2 linked regions of the Xenopus tropicalis genome follow. The protein of the gene in region 2 interacts with the protein of the main gene of each other region in a biochemical or structural test. Links are inferred from orthologs where the notes say so. Each region holds a gene or a part of one and is shown on either strand. Other genes may lie near its edges. The genes, in order: ppp2r2a and ppp2r1b.

Evidence for each region.
Region 1: the proteins of ppp2r1b (region 2) and ppp2r2a form a complex in vitro, tested with the Homo sapiens proteins (2 studies listed by BioGRID). The link is inferred for Xenopus tropicalis from reciprocal best matches to the Homo sapiens genes PPP2R1B and PPP2R2A.

Annotation. Positions count from the first base shown.
Region 1 is NC_030679.2:127,954,875-127,965,376, reverse strand, and holds the start of ppp2r2a (serine/threonine-protein phosphatase 2A 55 kDa regulatory subunit B alpha isoform), read right to left. Parts: upstream 5,453-10,502; 5' UTR 5,326-5,452; coding exon 5,319-5,325; intron 1-5,318. UniProt on the Homo sapiens protein: Substrate-recognition subunit of protein phosphatase 2A (PP2A) that plays a key role in cell cycle by controlling mitosis entry and exit. Involved in chromosome clustering during late mitosis by mediating dephosphorylation of MKI67.
Region 2 is NC_030683.2:84,355,131-84,365,867, forward strand, and holds the start of ppp2r1b (serine/threonine-protein phosphatase 2A 65 kDa regulatory subunit A beta isoform), read right to left. Parts: upstream 6,195-10,737; 5' UTR 6,137-6,194; coding exon 6,059-6,136; intron 649-6,058; coding exon 558-648; intron 1-557. UniProt on the Homo sapiens protein: The PR65 subunit of protein phosphatase 2A serves as a scaffolding molecule to coordinate the assembly of the catalytic subunit and a variable regulatory B subunit.

The sequences.
Region 1 (10,502 bases), on a different chromosome or scaffold from region 2:
AAAGAAAGGAAGGAAAGAAAGGTATAAGCTAAGGAACAATGGAGAGGCAGTATTTATACACAAGGGCTTTAATGTGTTTCCTGGAAGCCAGGACAGAGACTTGCAGTAGAATGAGTACAGAGACGTAAAAAGAAACATGACAGCACCCAGAAGCTTAACCACGTGCACAAATATCACAGCAGCACAAAGCCCCATAGCAAACACACTGCTAAAAAGGTGGCATAGATTGACCTCAAAAGCAAATCACCCCATAAATGGCACAATGGAGCCACAAGAACCCAGTATGGTTCCTAAATAACACGTATAATTCAGAAGTCTCTAGTTTGTCTTTGCTGCTGCCTCTAAAACAAGTTCATTTTTCATGGCACCTTTTTGAGCAGCTACGCAAGCATGAGAAATGTCAGGGCCATTACTCACAGTTGTTTATGAGCAAGCCCACAAAGATGCTGTAGAAAATAAACTGCTTGACCACAGGAGGCTAAAGACAATAGGAGAATGGTATTATAGTAAGAAGAGGCTGCTCCACCTCTCTGGGGCCACAAAGCAAAAGTTTGCAAAAAGCAAAGTGACTGAAGCGCTCGCTGAACTGCATGCCTACATGACGTTTTCAAATAATGAATTTAGACATGAACATGTTCCTGCATGGCTGGGACTCCAAAACCTACTATGCTACAACCTGCCTACGCCCCACTCGGATTTCACATGAAGTGAAACTTCTTCAACTTCAAAAGGCACCCAATTACCTCAAAAATCTCCACACACCACTGGCTCCCTAATTTGTAACCAACATCAACAATACGAGCCATAAAAAGGACTTTTACGTCTCCTGGTGTGCAAGAAAGTGACAGTGTAATCATGCAGGGAAAGAAAGAAAGGAAAAGTTCTAAGAGAAATGAGAAAGCCTACTGCTGCCCCAACCCATTCCCCAGGCACAAAGATCCAGTGTGCTAAAGGCTACCCAGAAAGCCAGCTCGTGGGGAGAACTTCAGGAACATTGCTCCTGGGAACACAGCCGCAATTCACCCAGATCCTGCACCACCCTCACAATGACTGTTTCTAGTTCCGCCAACACAGGAAGGAGCTGAGTCTCATTCTCACAACTCCTCCAGCCTCGGGAGAGGGAGCAAGGAGGCGCCTCCTAGCATGGCACAACGGCTGCAGCTGCACAACTGGATCTGCACTCTGCCAAGCGCCAACATGCAGCAGGAATTTCACTTTCACAATATATATACTGGGAACTTCATGCTTTCTAGACTTTAGAATCACTCAATATTACATTAAAAAGAACCATGTAAAATAAGATGACCTAAAAGTATCCCAGCATAATGTATGCTACATCCTACAGGAGTGGTTACCTGGTGAAGCCCCTTTTAAAGGAACAGTAACACCAGAAAATGAAACTGTATCAAAGTATCTCAAATATAAGGTATGGCTGCCCTGCGCAGGCACAACTGGTGTGTTTGCCTCAGAAAAACTACTATATTTTATATATAAATACCCTGCTCTATAGCCAGGGGGGCAGCCATTCAAGCTGGAAAACGGGAGAAAAGGCACAGGTTACATAGCAGATAAGCTCTGTAGAATATAATTGGACTTCATCTGTTATCTGCTATGTAACCTTTGCCTTTTCTCCTTTTTTCCCCTGCTTGAATGGCAGCTCCACTGGCTACACAGCTGGGTATTTATATAAATATAGTAGCAAACACTTTCACCAACACACACATTACATTTGAAATACTTTGATACAGTTTCTTTATTTGGTGTTACTGTTCCTTTGAGACAACATTCATTGGGACACCCTTAGCTTAGAAAAGGGTTATTAACATGTATATATCACGTGTATCTGCCATAAGGGCCATTTGTCCTTGCATGAGATCATTTTGAGGCCCTACCATTAGACAAGCAATCACAAAGTTCAGTCAAACAGGGATCAGTATGCATGAAAAGTGTGAGCAAGCGGACATACAGTGCCAAAAGCAGCATTTTCCATTTTACTGCTTAATCTCCTAAAAAGCTTACTACTTAACCCAACCACTTGACACCACTGGCTGCTCTCGGCAGCACTCTGTGGGATGCCAGCGAAGACCTTTCTTGTAAATGGGCAGCCAATGATTTCGAGGGCCTGACAGGGGGTATGCAGACAAAGCTGACTGGCTACAGGTTTAAAAAACCCTCATCCTATAAGGAGTGTTGGGATATAGTAACCTAGGTGCCAAGTATTATTTATCATGGGCTCTGTGCTGAGGGTGATTTTACATGGCTACAGTGTGGGTGAGCTACATAAGGAAAAGAAAGTGGCACTGAGTTGTCTGCGTTCTTCTCACAAAGGGAGGAAGCGGAATTGTCAGATAAGGAAGAAAGGGCAGGAGAGAATACAGCATTTATTGTGGATAAGCAAATAACTGGAGGCAACAGGCATCTGGAGAGAGATGTGCACTGAAGGGCCAAAGGATGCATCTCCTGTTTGCACATTGGGAACAGGATATCCGACTGCTGCGCAGGGGCCTCTTATTTGGGCTTGGGGTATGCAAACTGTTAAATGTTTGCTTTTTTTATTCTGAAAATTCATTTTGGCAACATTAAAGGAGAAGAAGAGGTTAAATGAGAGGGGGGTGCCTGTGATTCCCTGGGCTGGTGCTCCTATTAGCAGAAAACTGCACGGGCTGGGGGTATTTCTGAGCAAGGACCATGGGGTGATTGCCTCCTTCCACTTTTTCTTTCTTCTATAGGCTGAGCTGACACGTGCAGTAGAGTGAGAAAGTCGGCTTTTTGCCAATAGTTCAGCTTTTCACTCTACTGCGCAAGCCCACCCTGTGTGGAGAAGATTTGATCAGGTAGAATGATTTTTCTAAAGTACCCTGGCTTGGGGCAGTTTTCTGCTACCAGAAGCTGCCCAGGGTATCAGGTACATGATTACAATCACTGGGTGTGCCTAACATTTGCCATCTACTCCTTTACAATTAAACCAAAATAGGCCTAATTCAGATGATAAAGCATTTTTGGCTTTTTTTAATTAATAACATTTAGCTGAATGACAATGGCTGGCCACCTAGGCTTTCTATAGTACTTTTTTGTGTTAAAAACAGCAAGTATAACCCTTCTAAACTGTCCCCCTGCTGGGGTAATTACTGGGCCCCAACAGCAAAATCATTTTATGGCGCTCTTACTTTAGGTACAAGACACTTTTCACAGATGTATATTGAAACTGCTTGTCAGTCAGTGCCCTTCAGTTGTACTTCTGGATACCTGAATTCATACCTATTGGTGTTGTTGCTAAAACCTAGTGACCAGCAGAGAATGTGAGTTGCCCGGCACAGTGCTATAAAGCCTACCATTACTTAGTGCGGAGTTGCTTTAGTAACTGCGGATTAGAAAGTTATCTTTGGGGTAATAGCGCTTCATTATCAGTGCAGATACACCAATATCTCTTTGTGCCCAATGTCACCAACATGAAGGCCACACAATGTCTGAAACAAGCAGTTACAGGCGGTTTCCATTCACATCAGGTGGCACAGTGAAGCATCGTATGCCAATGGCCTTGTGGTGTACAAGCTACACAGTTCCATTGACCCTAAATCAGAGCTGTGCAACTTTTAACGTGTGTGTGTGGAGGGGAGTGGTACGTACATTTAAATGAGGAGTTCATACAAAGCATTCTATGGAGCCCTTGAAACCAGACCATATCTGATTGGACAGTTTTGCCCTAAATAAGCCAATCAGGAGAGCACAGAAGTGAATGCTTCAGGGCAGGTTCCATAAGCATGGGCTGGACATATACTGGGAGACTTCTCACTATATATAATTATTACTGGAAATTCACCCAGTGTGGCTCTAAGCCGGCCTCTAAAAACCGCCTACCCACAATGCACCTGATGGAATACGCGCCTCATTCACAAGGTTAAACAGGGAGGCATCTTTCTGACGTAGGCAAGAGATCATGTTTATTCAACACCACGCCAAGAAAATTTGCTCCCTTTCTGTTGTGACACGTGAATGTTTGCATACATACATCCACCCTAGTAAATACATACATCCCTGCGTGTATGCTCACACTAATTAACGCTGTACTAATCACATGACTAAACATTAAAGAACAAGGACATTCTGTGCCAGCCCTGCTAATAACACAAATATTTTCCTTAACAACACTGAGCGCCGAGCATGATGATACATAGGTGCATTCATCTAATAACCAGTAAATGGCATCAAGTGCTTCTGGACAAATACATAAAACCCTCATAGCAGGTTCTGCCCAATCGCTAACTAAACTTAACCTCTAATTTGCATTCAAATATGAGCAAAATGGACTAAAAATGTGTAGGCTTAAGTTCTCCTTTACTCTCAAGTCACATGACATGAAAGATTCAGCAGAATGCAAACCTTCCCAGACAACTGGGGTATTCTTTTCCCTTTTGTTGCAGATGTAGTTGAACAAAGTGCAGCAGTGAAAGCGCCAGTGTGGCCTGTACGTACCTCCCACACAGCACAGAAACCCGGCACGGCCGCTGGCCCACACAGCTCTATGTACAAAGAGGGTGGCTGCTCAGATGGCTCCCACACTGATTACATGATCTACAAGGATACGGGGGCACCCTCAGCAGCTGGATGGTTTGAGGGCAATGATACACACAAGGTGATTGCCAGCCATGCCATCTCCAGATCAATGGGCAACCATTCTCCATTGATTTGAATGGTAATCAGAGCCAAACTTACCTTCCTTGCCCTAGAAGCCCAATTGGCTCGGCAGATTCTCGCTACATGGCTAGCTATAACAGAGATTTGACAGCTGCCCCCCCCATGCCCTTGTTTGCAATGTAATTAATGTGGAGAATAATGGGGTGGCCACCCCCCTAAGCCTGGGCCTTTGTGGCCCTTCCAGTAGCCCAGGCCTGAGGGCAGATACCCTAGCACTCACAGGCCTGGGCACAGAAAGGGATTTGCCCCCACAGGGGGTAGGTGGGAAAAGCCGGGAGAGGGGCTGCTAGAAGGAGGGACGCCCTGCTTTTGTACTACACGGCCGGCCTGCTGCCCTCCAGCTGTTGCACTGCGACTCCCCGCCCGGCAGCTGAATGGGAAGGTAGCACAAAAGCAGCTGCAGGGGATGCAGCCCTCATTCTATTAGCCCCCCGGCACTGCCAGCTAATGGCCGCCCCCTGCTATCCCCGGCACTGCGGGCAGGCTGAGCATCCCTACTGCAATGGAACAGGCCGGCGCCTCCCCGCTGCACAGCCCTCACACGGCATCCAAACACTGGCCAATTGTACCCGGCCATTACAAATGCCCCCCTCCATGCATCCCCGCCATTCCAGCTGTCTCACCCGCCATGCTGCCCCTGGCCACTGCTGGTCCCGGGCTCCGGATGGAGGCGGATACCGGGGGAGGCCGCTGCCCGGGGCGGGAGGACCGGACTCTGAGACCGCGGCTTCAAGATGGAGGCCGTAGGCACGGTGACGTCACTGGGTAGAGACAAAGGGGAGGAGCGGCCGGCGGGGCGGGGCCAATACGTCACGCTGTCCCTGTGATTGACGCCTCTTCCTTTCTCTCTGTGCCGTGAGGGATTCTCTCAGTGACTGGGAAAGGGCTGTGTGTGGGGCTCAACAATAACTGGCCCTTAGCCCACTGAGAGAAATCTGCGTCTCTGGGCTTGTGCTTTAGTATTAAACACCATGGGTCCCAGTGTTGTGTGCGGCGTGTCGTCATGATCCCCCATGAACTCTTAGTTACATAGTTACATAGTTACATAGTTACATAGAGTTGAAAAAAGACCAGTGTCCATCAAGTTCAACCCATCCAAGTAAACCCAGCACACCTAACCCACACCTACCAACTCTGACAGTAGTCTCCTCTTTAAAATGTCATGTAAAATTACTTTTTGACTGGTGTTGCAGTGTCGGACTGAGATGGCAGGGGCCCACCAGAAAACCCTGGGCAATGGGCCCACTCTCAAAACTTTAATTCATCTTGTAGATTGTAAGCTCTTTTGGGCAGGGCCCTCCACCTCCTGTATCGGTTATTGGTTGCTTTATATGTTACTCTGTATGTCCAATGTATGTAACCCACTTATTGTACAGTGCTGCGGAATATGTTGGCGCTTTATAAATAAATGTTAATAATAATAAAAATAATCCTCTCCTCCTTCAAACCATTTATTATCCTAGTCTCTCTGCATACTATACTCTATTCTTCCATCCATTTAACTTCCATGTTCCCATACAGAAATAGGGAATGACCATCAAATCGGATAAATAAATAGAAGCAAGAAGGCCACTGACTCCTGGGCCCACCGGGATTTTTTCTGGTATGCTGTAGGCCAGTCTGCCTTTAAGACAAAAGACTAAGGAATACTGACTGCCAGTTCAAAACCTGTGTAAAATGAATCCTCCTGTGTGGGCACGGGTAGAAAAGTAGGCATGTTGTGGGCAAAAGACTTACATTCAGGGGGCTAACTGAATGAACCCCACTAGCATCCCATATTTTTACCCAATCAGACCGACTGCCTACTGGCATGTTGTCCACTTCCCACCCTGATGGTAGAAGCAGCATCAGCTATGGGCTTGCAGAGGGATGAAAAGGAGTTCTGCACAGGGCCGGATTTGTCTTTTGGGCACCCCTAGGCCACGCCCGTTGATCACCCCCCCAACGTGCATGCGCGAACGAGCGAACAACCGCTCACCCCGCCCCCCTGTGCGAGCACGCATGCGCATACATTTAAAGCCCCATATGGAGCAGTGGGGAGAAGTTCTCACTGCTCTGTATTGAAAAAAACTTTTAAAATTCTGTTGTGGCGGGGCGGCATGCCGCCCCTACATATCTGCCGCCCTAGGCCCGGGCCTTCGTGGCCTCTCCACAAATCCGGGCCTGGTTCTGCATATCCTACCTGACCATCATAGTGGCAATTACACTTTTACATGCCCAGTAGCTACACTGGGGGCCCATTTATCAAAGTCTAAATTTCGGACTTTTAAAAGTACATTAGAAAAAATTTGGACTAAATCTGATAATTTCTGATGTGCATTAAAAGCGCAAAAATTTCAGATCGTGGTCATACAAAAATATCATGGTACGCTTAGAAAGTTCCAAAATTTTCGTATCTGACCGATCTTAAATGGCGCAAAAAACTTTCTGACTTTGATCCTTCGGTGCATGATTTTGGAAGCCACCCATAGGGATCAATGGCACTCTGCAGCTCCAACCTGGCCCAAGGAAAGTCTCCCATAGGGCTCAATGGCACTCTGCAGCTCCAACCCGGCCCAAGGAAAGTCTCCCATAGGGCTCAATGGCACTCTGCAGCTCCAACCCGGCCCAAGGAAAGTCTTCCATAGGGCTCAATGGCACTCTGCAGCTCCAACCCGGCCCAAGGAAAGTCTCCCATAGGGCTCAATGGCACTCTGCAGCTCCAACCCGGCCCAAGGAAAGTCTCCCATAGGGATCAATGGCACTCTGCAGCTCCAACCCGGCCCAAGGAAAGTCTCCCATAGGGCTCAATGGCACTCTGCAGCTCCAACCCTGCACAAGGAAAGTCTCCCATAGGGCTCAATGGCACTCTGCAGCTCCAACCTGGCCCAAGGAAAGTCTCCCATAGGGCTCAATGGCACTCTGCAGCTCCAACCCGGCCCAAGGAAAGTCTCCCATAGGGCTCAATGGCACTCTGCAGCTCCAACCCGGCCCAAGGAAAGTCTCCCATAGGGCTCAATGGCACTCTGCAGCTCCAACCCGGCCCAAGGAAAGTCTCCCATAGGGCTCAATGGCACTCTGCAGCTCCAACTTGGCCCAAGGAAAGTCTCCCATAGGGCTCAATGGCACTCTGCAGCTCCAACCCGGCCCAAGGAAAGCCTCCCATAGGGCTCAATGGCACTCTGCAGCTCCAACCCGGCCCAAGGAAAGTCTCCCATAGGGCTCAATGGCACTCTGCAGCTCCAACCCGGCCCAAGGAAAGTCACCATACCGAAGCTTGATTGAATAACAAAACTTTCATACTCACTGCAACAAATAAGATTTTGTCGCATAAATTGTCACAAAGTATGAAAAAGTTGCAGAAATTAAGGAAAATATTTTATAAAATACGCACAGTTCGTAAAAAATACAAATTTTTAGTATTCAGACTCAATCGTACTTTAATGAATAGGCCCCTAAGGCTTCTTCACCTGCTACAAGACTGTACAATCCTGGGTATTCTCTTATATAGCTGCCATCGCATGAAGCTCTGCCAAGCAACATCTCCAGAGAGGGTTGGGGGCCAGAGGAATATGGAAAAAGTGATTCTAGTTATTTATATGGGCCTTCTATTATAATCAGCTTGGGCACCTAGAGAATGTAACAAAAAGCAAAAGCACTCAGGGCTACAAGGGAAAACCCTTTAGAAAATTTATTGCGGAGGTGCAACGTTTCGGAGCAAACCTAGCCCCTTTATCAAGCAAGGGGCTAGGTTTGCTCCGAAACGTTGCACCTCCGCAATAAATTTTCTAAAGGGTTTTCCCTTGTAGCCCTGAGTGCTTTTGCTTTTTGTTGCTTTGCAGTTTTGGGAGGGTGCCGATCCCTCTAGCAGAGTGCACCGGGCGTTCAATTTTGGAGAGCCAGGGTGTGCGGAAACGGTCTCTGTTGTGCTCACCTAGAGAATGTGCCATATGTACCAAGATGGTTGGACCAGTTCCAGATTGAGATTCAAAATAGTCCCTGGCATTTCAAGTACACAGAGGTCCAAACAGCCCCCCCCCCAGCCCAATAAATAGTGAGTGTCTATGGCATCTTACAGCAGCCCCTCTGGCATTTGCCAAAACTCACAGATTGTCAGTCTGGGCCTGATATTGTCAAGACTTGACCTGAGTGGGCTTATGTACAGTGTCGGACTGGCCCACCGGGATACCAGGAAAACTCCTGGTGGGTCCAGGTGTCAGTGGGCCCTCTTGCTTCTATTTAGCCTATTTCATGGTCATTCCCTATTTCTGTATGGGAACAAGAAGACTTGGAGGAGGACTTGGAGAATAAAGAGTTTGAGGTAGGAGAGGAGGAATTAAAGTTTTGAGAGTGGGCCCATGGTCCAGGGTTTTCTGGTGGGCCCCTGCCATCTCAGCCCTGCTTATGTATGAAAAAATTCACGCACCAGCCCTAGATATCTGGTTGGGAAAATCCAAAGAGTAAGCTGAGGAATGATGGATGGCTTTCTAGCAGAATGCCAAGAAAGGCAAAACAATAACAAATATATTTTGTGAATATGGAATATTTCTATAAAGTGGAGCAGTGATCATTTGTGTTATGGAATTATCCCTGTCTATGTAAAATGTATAATAAAGCAGCAGAATTCTTAAAGGAGTTGTTCACCTTTGAGTTAACTTTTAGTATGGTGTAGAGAGTAATATTTTGAGACAATTTGCAAATTGGTCTTAATTTTTTATTGTTTGTAGTTTTTTTTACTTCCATAATTGTTTGGCAACTCTCCAGTTTGGAAAAAAAAGTTATAAAAAGTAACAATAATAATAAAACTGTAGGCTCACAGAAAAATAGTTTTTAGTTGCCGGGGTCAGTGACCCCGATTCAAAAGAGTTTGAAGAAAAAGACCAATAATTAAAAACCTATAAGAAATAAATAATAAAGACCAATTGAAAAGTTAATTAGAATTGGTAATTCTAAATTGGTAATTCTAAAAGTTAAATTAAAGGTGAAAGTAAGTGTAGGATTGGCCAGACTGGGGATGACGTAATTGGTCAGCTTGAATATATTGCAATATATGGACAAACAAACCCTGTTTTGCTTAAAGCGGAGGACATTGCTTGGTAGCTTAATGCACAGAATGTCTTAATATCATATATACAGTATATTGATGATGGGTGAGTGCAAGGAACCCCTTTTGTCTGTATATGAATTGTGTGTTCACGACAATAGCTGATAAAGTTACCAAATGAATATCAGATTGCAGGGTTGGACCGGGCCGATGGGACACCGGGAAAAAACCCTGACCCGACCCTTGCCGGTGCTCCCCCAGCCCCGGTGGGCCCTGCACCCCCAGTTTAACCCTGTCAGATAGGGAAGTTGAATGGAGTCAGTATGAATAGCATGTCGCCCAGTCATTCGGGACTCACAAATAAGCCGGAAAATTTGCGGCGATCCGGAGGTAAGTAGAGAGTAATGCATTTTCGGTAGGCTTGTCACCTGCGGCAACAAATCTCCCATGTGCCATTGCCCTTAGATTCTGCAGAGGTGGGGAATGATACATTTAACACTTGAGGACTGATTTTTTTTTTTAAAAAAAGTGTTTAAGAAATTGCCAGATAGAATGTGTGTAACTGCTCTGAGCTCTAACATCCCACCCATCTGGTAATCCTCTGACGTGAACTAACATTGCCTTCAAATATATACAGTGCAGGGCAACTGGGCCTTATTGGGAAATGTATTTTTTCCATGCTGGAATGATTCGTAGAGATCTTGGGGAATCTGACAGGATTGGTATTTTTAAAACAAGCCAAACAAAAGCTCAAAGGATTCCTCCAAACACTGTTATTGCACCA
Region 2 (10,737 bases):
TTTTTTTAAAAAAAACACAACAAAAAATGTATTAAAACATTAAGCATTAATCTAATGGCAAAAACTGCTCATTTAAAAGGAGCAGCTCAACTACAAATACTTAATGGTTTTTTTATTTATTTGTATATATAAATGCTATTTAAAGCAGTGTCTGCCTTGTCCTTTCTATTCTTTGCCCTAGTGGCTCTGGCTTTTGAAACATTATAACACAAGCCAGTAGATTGACAGACCTGTCTTGTGTTGATAAAACAAGAAAAATAGGTTATATCTACCTCAGATGTATGAGGCTTTACGCCTAAATAAAGTTTGAGCGTAATGTACTCACTGAACTACGTACCGATAATCATATTGGCAGCAGTTATGGGGATAATAATGCAAATGAAAGACTAAGGAAAGGCATGAGCTGCACGGCTTTAAACCTGCACTGCCTTGAATCATGATTTTCTCTGCCTCTAACCATCTACCTCATCTATGAGGACAACTGAATGCAGTTATAGGGGCAAGCACACCCAATATGGGGGTAGTCAGACCATGATTCCGTCCATTACTATACCCACCTGTAAGAAACGGCAAAAGCTCAGTCCTGGTTCTTTCAACTCCCAATGCTAGAGCGATGGTGGACAGCTTCTTGATACTATTGAGGCGCAGCTGTGAGGAAAATAATAAATGAATATGATAAAACGGTTACTTGGACCATCAGGTGGCCATCCATAGGCAGATTCAACCTTAGGTGGCCAAACAAGCAGATTTTACAGCGTATGGCCACCTTTACACCCCATGAGCGGCAGTGCCATTCAACCAATTTTTCTATACACAAATTTTCTTTCCTCCTAGCTCAGTGTTTGCCAAACCATGGGCAATGCAGTTCTCCATTATGTAGACAAGAACAGTTTTAATGCCTAGGTGCCAATAAGAATCCACTCTCTGGCTTCAAATGACATATTAGCGGGTTCTACTGAACTGGATGCCCCACAGTACATACGTTTTTCGCTTTTTTTTTTTTAATTTGCTGTATAAGTGCACCTTCACAACTGATTAGGAAAGCACAACCATGGGTGCCACTAATGTTTGTGCTATGCTACAAAAGGTCCCCCTATGACAATGCCCCGGTTATCCTGAAACTCATGTCTGCGTACAGCTCACTGGCTAGAAGAAGAGTTAAACAGTGCAATGCCCCATTAGCAAATCTTATGCATAAGCAGCATACAGTTTTTGAATTACTAGAAAGCCTAAAGGTGTTCATCAATATGACTCAATGTGGCCCATTTATCAAAGTACGATTGCCTTTGAATACAAAATTTTTTTTCATTTTCGTACCTTGCGTATTTTTGCCGATTTAGTCGCTATTTTGCGCAACTTTTTCAACTGTGTGTCAAAAATTATGTGACAAAATCGTATTGTCGCGCCAAGTACGAAAGTTTCGTGACACTTATATTGCCCTGTGTGCCACAAGATGTGGGGTGTGTTAGCAGTGTGAATACAGACTGTCATGCCACTCACTAGAGTGGCACAACACTATGTACCATTCCCCTAGGCTGGAAAATACCTTTGTCTTGACAAAAAGGTAATCACACGGTCAGCAAGTGTTTCTGCGTAGTATTCACCATACGGTTAGGTGCAAGGGCAGGGTTTGCTTGATAACCGTTGCCTATTTTTTCCAGCATTTTGTGAGCACCCGGTTATTACTCTTAGGCTCTGAGTTAAGAAGCAGCTCAATATGCAAAGGGGTAGTAATATGGACTAGTAATTTAACTAGTTCCCCTCCTGCATATTAAACAAGCAAAAGGTGTGTACAATTTAAGTTAGTATTCCATTATGAATAAAACCATTAATAGAGAATAGAAAGTTAACAAACTGATAGTTATGCAGCTTTCAGAAGCAAAACCTTTAACATAACCATTTTCATTGAGAATGGATATTCTGGAAGAAAAACTGTAATAAAGTGCTTTAGGTCAATGTTTCCTCTTAGCTGTGCACACACATACATTTTGAGGCCACCACACACAACAAATTGCGCACAAAAAATTTTGTGCAAAAACACAAAAGTTGTATTTATTCTGACCTGAGCACACAAATTAAAAATTAATTCTTTTGAGCCCATAACTAAGACAGAATTAAAGTGGCCATACATATTAAAGGAACAGTAACACTAAAAAATAAAAATGTTTTAAAATAATTAAAATATAATGTACTGTTGCCCTGCACTGGTAGAAGTTGCGTGTTTGCTTCAGAAAGACTACTATAGTTAATAGAAATAGCTGCTGTGTAGCCATGGGGGCAGCCATTTAAATTGAAAGAAGGAGAAAAGGCACAGGTTACATAAGAAGATACCAGATAAACTGTGTAGAATACAATGGGAATCTATGCTACTTATCTGTTGTTATCTGCTTAGTAACCTGTGCCTTTTCTCCTTTTTTCAATTTAAATGGCTGCCCCCATGGCTACACAGCAGGGTATTTATATAACTGCAGTAGTGTTTATGAAGAAAACACACAACTTTTAGCAGGGCAGAGCAATAGTATATAATATATTAATTATTTTTATACACTTTCATTTTTTGGTGTTACTGTTCCTTTAAGAATTTTCTCTCCCTACTGACCAGGTTCAGTGTGACAAATTATCATAAGGGCACTGAACAATCACGCATATAGCATTTTTTCATCTAAAATCAGGCAGGTTTGAAATTTTTTGTTGTTTACAATGATTTTTGTCATTGTCCAAATGTTTGCAGGATCAAGCAGGCAGTTTTACTAGCTTCAACTGGACAATATCGCTTGAAATGGTCATTTTTTTCATGGACAAATCATACTTTTAAACAATTCCAGATAAGCTTGGTCCTAAGATAACTAAGATTGTTTTAAAATCTTAACATTTATGGCCAGCTTAAACCCTTTCACTGCCAACAGCGTATGGATGAAGACTGAAGCAGTCAGTAGCAGATCAGTAATACTAATACTGTTTTTAGCATAGCTTTGTCATGTGTAATTTTGGTGCAGAAAAATAACTTATGCGCTATTTTCATTTTGGGGTCAGTACACACCACAGACTTTGGGATATCTATGCATATTGGGCATCAAACTGTTCAGTAGACCTTAGGTGTTTCTATTTGGGGTGATTTGCCTCTGTATGCAAGAAATTGTGTAAGATAAATGCGGCAAATTGCAACTTTTTTTTCTGAAATGTCATAAAAATCGGCAAACAGGAAAGCTTTACGGCTTGGTACTTTGGAGTAAAAAGAAATGTGTACCCATTATAGATTCAGGGGAATGTGTACTTTCCAAAAATATATGGCTTTCTGGGGTGAGTGTACTTTTTTTTTCCATTATCCCACATAAAGATGTAAAAGGGGCCCCTACATGCCACATATTTGGGTAAACGTATACACACTGGGCATCAAACTGTTCAGTGGACCCTTGGTGTTCAAATTTAGGGTGTTTTATCTTGGTACCTAATGCTATGTGGGAGATAAGATGCTGCAAAGTGGAAGCTTTGAGGGGATTTTTGGAAATGTCATCAAAATTGCTACATTTAGAAAAACTTTGCGGATTGGTACTTTGGAGTAGAAAGACATGGGTACCCATTTTAGATTCGGGGGAATGTGTACTTTCCAAAAAATATATGATTTTCTGGGGTGAGCGTACTTTTTACTAGCTTTATCCCACATATAATGATGTAAATGTGTTGATTTTGCCGGAGCTGAAATGACAGAAATGATAGATCATATGGTGTTATGTTCACTTTGGGGGCCCTACATGCCACATAATTGGGTAAACCTATACATATTGGGCATTAAACTGTTCAGTGGACCCCTGGCGTTCATATTTAGGGTGTTTTATCTTGGTACCTAATGCTATGTGGGAGATAAAATGCTGCAAAGTGGAAGCTTTGAAGTGATTTTTTTAAAAATGTCACAAATTTTGATGATAATAATAATAAATTTAGGAAAGCATTGCGACTTGATAGTTTGGAGTAGACAGACAGTTGTGACTATTCTGGATTCCCCAGAATCTGTTCTTTCCAGAAATGTATAATTTTCTGTTAGTGGATTTTTGGCCTTGAAATCTAAATTACGCAGCTTTCTGAAGCAGTGCTTTCAAAATTTGGTAGTGTACTGCTGGGAGTTTTTGACCTATACAAGTGAGAAATCTTCATAAAGCTATATATATTTGGTATTGGCATGTTCAGGAGACATGGGACTTTCCAAATCAGTTGTATTTTTGTTTCTGGTATGTGTGTTAATATATGTGATTTTTTTTTTTCATTTTTAGACATTTAGAAGCCTATATCTTGTCACAGAGTTGGAATTACACCAAAATCTACCATATTTTGAAAGCTTAGGTTGTCCTGAAAAAAAACAATATATTGTTTTCCTGGGTAAACTAAAAGTCCACCCGAGGAAAGGCCCCTAAACTGAAACAGTGCAAAATGTTCAAAAACTGTCTGGCAGTAGAAATTCCGCTTTGACCAAAACCGCTGGCAGTGAAAGGGTTAAAGGGAATATTGCTCCAGGCAAAGTACTTCCAAAAGACTAGAGACAGTGCAGTTAGGGGTGTGCATTTTGACTGCTTCTGTTTTCCACCTCAAGATGGTCGAAACACTGTGTGACACATTAGCCTAAGGGGTTCAAATACCAACAAAAAGACAGAACATAAAATGTAAAATTGTCTATTAAAATTGCTTTGAATAAATTCTGCAACTAATAAAACCCTGAAAATATCAAAAAAAATAATCAGCACCCATACTAGCAGGAACTATGGGCAGTCTTTTAAAGCATGTTAAAAGTACAAGGAAACCCAAATTCACTTAAGGGTGGCAATATGTTAGGCAACACCCAGTCAAATACATAGTTTAGTGTGGTCCCTGGGCCAGAGATTATTTTGAGGGGGGGGGGGAACCCACACACCGGCCCAGCTTAAATGCAAATACACACCAATATTGCCAACTACTTGCCAGCAACAAGTTCCCTAACCCCTTAGATGTTGCTCCCAGTGGCCTCAAAGCAGATGCTTATTTTTGAATTCCTGGCTTGGAGGCAAGTTTTGGTTGCATAAAAACCAGGTGTCCTGCCAAACAGAGCCTCCTGTTGGATACCAGTAAACATAGCCAATCACAGCCCTTATTTGGCACCCTTATGAACATTTTTCACGCCTGCGTTGCTCCCCAACTCTTTTTACATTTCAGTGTGGCACAAGGGTAAAACAGGTTGGGGATCCCTGACCTAGGCCAATGCAGACCCATCGGGAGTGGGCCTTGTCAACATGCTGATGTGGTCCTTCCTGATTTTCAAACCTGTTCGATAGATATCTGGGGTTTAGCAGATTGGCACCCCTCTAATGAATTTAGGTTTCCTTGACCTTTAAATGATTTGCCCAGCCATAGAATACAAGGATTTTGACAAAAAAGGCCTATTGCCAATACGATGTCACAACAACAGTTTGAAAGAGTAGAATATTTGTCTAAATACAGTGTAAACTACAAAAAAAGCCTTAAAGAAGAATACATATTGGGAATACCAACTGTAAAAGCATGGCTTGTAATCCTTTATTTACAAGAAATCCCACATTTCCCAATGTAACAAGGATGACAAGAAAATGGGCTGAGGGGCAACACATGCCAAATGAATGGCTACTGGGATGCCCCTACATGTATGTAATTGCCAGTCGCTATTTAAGGCCGTTGCATAGCAGGCATTAGAGAAACAAGGCTGAGAACACAATGACTGGCACAATCGCTGCTCGCTATATTGCTGGAACCGCTAATCTCCCAGCATGATCTGAATGCTCTCTTATGGTACGAGCCCGGGGAACTGCAGCATCATCCCAACACCAGAGCACTCCAGCGGAACCAATGGAACGTAAAAGAACTCGGAACAGATAGAAGCCCAAGGTTTCCATATGAAAGAACATTCCTGTACAACTGCTAAAACTGCCATGACAATATCGAATGCACACACACACGCTATGCGCAGAGCCACCGCAGCCCCTCCATGGGTGTGCCCTGCACCACTGACACGCTAGGGGGCTCAACACAGAACTGAGCCGCGGTATAATCGCCTCACCTGTACGTCCTCATTCCTCAGCTCATCGATAAGCACCGCAATGGGATAAAGCGAATCGTCACCGTCAGCTCCTGCCATCTTATCACCGGTATAATGTCGTCCTATTGTCTCGGCACGCCGGCCACTTCCTGCCTAGAAATGAAGCCGAGAGAAGACGCAGGCCCTGAAGCGGATATGACGACACTGGCGGTATAAACCAGGTCACTGACACGCCCCTTTTCGCTTAGGCTTCTTTATAAACAATGCAACGCTATAGAACTGCTGGGAAGTGTAGTGGTTTACAAAGAGGTGCGGAATGGGGACGCGGCACCTGTGCTTAAATGTCCTCATAGTTATATTAATAAGGCGTAAACCTCATTTCCAGACAGATGTGCTGCTCTGCATAGTCCTTATGTTAGTGACCAGAGGTCTATTTATATTTAGCAGACTGTGTTTGCTTTGATCAGGGGAAGTCTGGGGGGAACTGCCTGTGAGCTGGGTGGGTCTGGCGGATTTCCAGATAAACCTCTGTGAAAGCCATGAACTCATTCATGTATTTAGTAACAGTGACACAGAACTTTTGCTTTGCTAGACTGTAGGCAAGGAACATTCATCTGACCCCAGGCACGCCTACTGGCCTATTTCTAATGCCATATGTTTTACACCATAATTTTATTCTTAGAAAACACTTGGTTAAAATAATATCTCTGCTTTGTTAAAATGTGTCATTATACTTAGGGGCTGATTTACTTACCCACGAACGGGTCGAAATGAGTCCGATTGCGTTTTTTTCGTAATGATCGGTATTTTGCGATTTTTTCGGATTCTTTACGAATTTTTCGTTACCAATACGATTTTTGCGTAAAAACGCGAGTTTTTCGTATCCATTACGAAAGTTGCGTAAAAAGTTGCGCATTTTTCGTAGCGTTAAAACTTACGCGAAAAGTTGCGCATTTTTCGCGTAAGTTTTAACGCTACGAAAAATGCGCAACTTTTTACGCAACTTTCGTAATGGATACGAAAAACTCGCGTTTTTACGCAAAAATCGTATTGGTAACGAAAAATTCGTAAAGAATCCGAAAAAATCGCAAAACATACGAAAAAGTCGCAAAATGTTCGTTTTCAAGTCGGAACTTTTCCAATTCGGGTCGGATTCGTGGGTTAGTAAATCAGCCCCTTAGTGTGAGGTGACCTGACTCTAGACTGGCACAGAGATTTACTTAACAGCTGGCACAGGTCATGATCTTGAATTATTATATAGTGTCCGCAGGTTACACAGCCCTTTACATTTATTTATAACAAAAATGGTTTTGGCAAATGACTATCGCATGACAATTGCAGTGTACAAGGTATAAAGATATAGCTATACTTGCAGTTACATCTGCAAGTATAGTTTGGGTCTTGACAATTTCCACACAGTCAGTTTTGCTTTTATTATAGGTATGTACTTTAAAATGAGCTCCTTGCACTTAGTTGGTGCTGCCCAGTCCTTTCATTTCAAATTGGGCACTGCTGTGTCTACTGACACAGTTAATCACAAAACAAAAACTGTAGTATTGTGTTAGGCAAAATATTTTAGAGCTCCGAAAGCTTGCAGTGTATTTTTATTGTTAGCCAATATAGGTATCATTTCTACAATACTCTTGTATTTGTGTTTTTTTTTTTATTATTACTGACCCAGTAAAACCCTGAAGCTACACCAGCCCCCTAACCAGGCGGTAGGTCCCGGGCTCCCTTCGCAAGCACAAAACTGAAGGCAGGAGGGACCAAGAGGTGCAAATAAAAAGCTTTTGCATGCAGCTGCCTGCAAGGAAATTGCATTGAATCCAACAGTGCTTGTGGACATTAATGATCCCTAATGTGTTTTATAAATGAACCACTGAAATTATAGTATAAACTTCATAATAAAGTAATACATAAAAAAGCAATACTAGCTACACTGCTGTGTCAGTCCTAATATGTTCCGCTTCTCTTGTGAACAGAAAGAGCAGACTTGGATAATTATCTCTTACATAGAGAGATATATGGATACAGTCATAGAGGAAAATTGCCAATTACAGCAGCTATGTAACCCGCTGCCATCAGCCTTTTCCTGTGACTGCACCTGGAGCCACTGTGTTTGCCCAGGTGCAAGCATGCGGAACAGATTTCACCAAAACGTTCAAGTATGCATTTCAGTGCCAAAAACACTCCGTGTGCCTGTACCTGGCCTGACATAGTGGCTCCTGGTGCTGTCACAAGAGAAGACTGATGCCTGCATTTACCCCTTTGCACTGTGCAAGGAGTAAATGCAGGTGCTTAGTATATAGTGCTCATTAAATGCTCCAGCTCTTCCGCTTACACTTTATTAAATGAGCTAGCTCATCTCTAGTACTTGCAAATAAAATGCAAATGTGCAATTGGCATTATATTGCTGTATGTGTAAGAACTGGGAAATGCTGTTTGTCATGTCACTATTTGCTTTGCTGCCAAGGAAGTCTGGGTGAAATGTATTTTGTGATAGGAGTCACTGTGGCAAAGGGGGCAAAGGATTTACATGTATTTTATAATAGTAAGGTCCATTTACCATCTGTGAGACAGATAAGTAAAGTGACCATCCTATTTCATTATTTGTTGCTTTTTATATAACTGTTATGTAAATATTTCATTGTAAAACCCATCCAAGCAATCCAGTTTTAAAGTTTTTGTTCTATGTTATGTGAACCGTTATATATCTCTCTATTTAAGTCAAACATAATAAAGAAGTTATGGGAAGTAACAGTGTTTAGAAATTGACGACCTACAACAATAGAAAATCCCCCCTCACAATTAGGAAAATGCAAAACTGGAAAAAAATTTGAAAAAAGTAAGTCAGGGTGTACTAAAAAAAACATTAGAATGTAAATTGCCATTGGGATGGCATACGCGTCACTGCGATATCCCGCAGTCACCCCAAGTTTCCTCTGAAGACACCTAAGATTTGTCGTGGGCGACTAATCTCCCCGCAATGCCATCCCTCCGGCTAGAATGTAAATTGCAGGTGGGATGGCATACGCGTCGCTGCAATGTCCCGCAGTTGCCCAAAGTTGTCTTTATACATGATTATTACAATGCCCCAGATGCAGGCCCCCTTAAGGTTGAAGACACATGGAGCTACTAGTAGCAGCTATTTGTTACGGCTACTAAAACAAACAATCCTGATTATTACTAATAATTGTCTCTGTGTGTTTTAGCAGAGGCAATTCTCTGTATTGTCTATGGCGGGGTATTCTTTGGCATTTAGTAGTAGTGACAAGTAGCTGCTACTAAGTAGCTCCGTGTGTCTTCACCCTTAGGGCAATGGCAGGCAAAGAAATGAGCAAGTTCTTAATAAAGAAGCAAACTTAATTTGTTACATATTTACAGTATATTCATTTATATGCACATATTTTAGGACGATGAATAAAGCTGCCCTTTCACAAGCTGACATTCGCTGCCAACTCCATACCAAATTGGCAGCTTTATGGCCCGTATACAGTGCCCTCCATAATGTTTGGGACAGTTGGCTCTACAGGTGTTTGTGGTAACTCAGGTGTGTTGCATTGCTTAATTAGTGTAGAGATAAGATACCTAGGCTGCTTCTACCAATTGGAGTCTGTAGTTGCCTTTGTTCAACATGAGGAGAAAAGCTGTGGCAAGGAAAGTCAAGGAAGCTATTTTGAGGCTGAAAAACAAAAATAAAACCCTTAGAGACATCAATCAAACCTTAGGATTACCAAAATTATCTGGATTATTATTAAGAAAAAAGAATGCACTGATGAGCTCTGTAATCGCAAAGAGACTGATAGGCCAAGGAAGGCCTCCACTGCTGATGACAGAAGAATCCTCACTATGGTAAAGAAAAATCGCCTGTCCAACAGATCAGAAACACTTTTCATGAGGTATGAGTGTCAGAGACTACTATCCACAACTATCCACTGACTTCACGAACGGAAATACTAAGGGTAAACTGCAAGATGCAAACCACTAGTTAGCCACAAAAATAGCTAGGTTACAGTTTGCAAAAAAGTACTTGCCTGCAGAATTCTGGAAAAAGTTGATATGGACAGATGAGACCAAGAGTAACCTGTATTAGAGTGATAGCAAGAGGAAAGTGTGTAGAAGAAAAAGGAACTGCCCGTGGTGGTTGAGGGTGTTATGGCTTGGGCATGTTTGGCTGCCACAGGTACTGGCACACTTATCTTTACTGATGATGTAACTGCTGGTTCACAATGAATTTTGTGGAGTAAAGAAAAATCTGATTTGCTCAAGTTCCAGTAAATTACTTCAAATACATTGGACGGCCCTTCATCCTGAAACAAGAAAATGATCCCAAACATACTTAAGGCAGCACAGGATTTTCTCAAAGCTAAAAAATGGAAAATTCTTAAATGCACAAGCCAGACTCATGATTTAAATCCAACTGAGCATGCCTACCATATGCTGAAGAGGAAATTTAAAGAGACATGCCCCGTAACAAGCAGGAGTTGAAAGTGGCTGCAGTAGAGGCTTGGCAGAACACCACCAGAGAAGATACTCAGCACCTGGTGGGGTCTATGAATCGCAGAAATCTAGCAGTTGTTGCATTCAAGGAATATGCAACAGAGTACTAAACACGACTGCTTTAATATACCTACCATTACTTTGTCCCAAATATTATGGTGCCCTGAAAAAAGGGGGACTGTGTATAAAAAGTGTTGTAA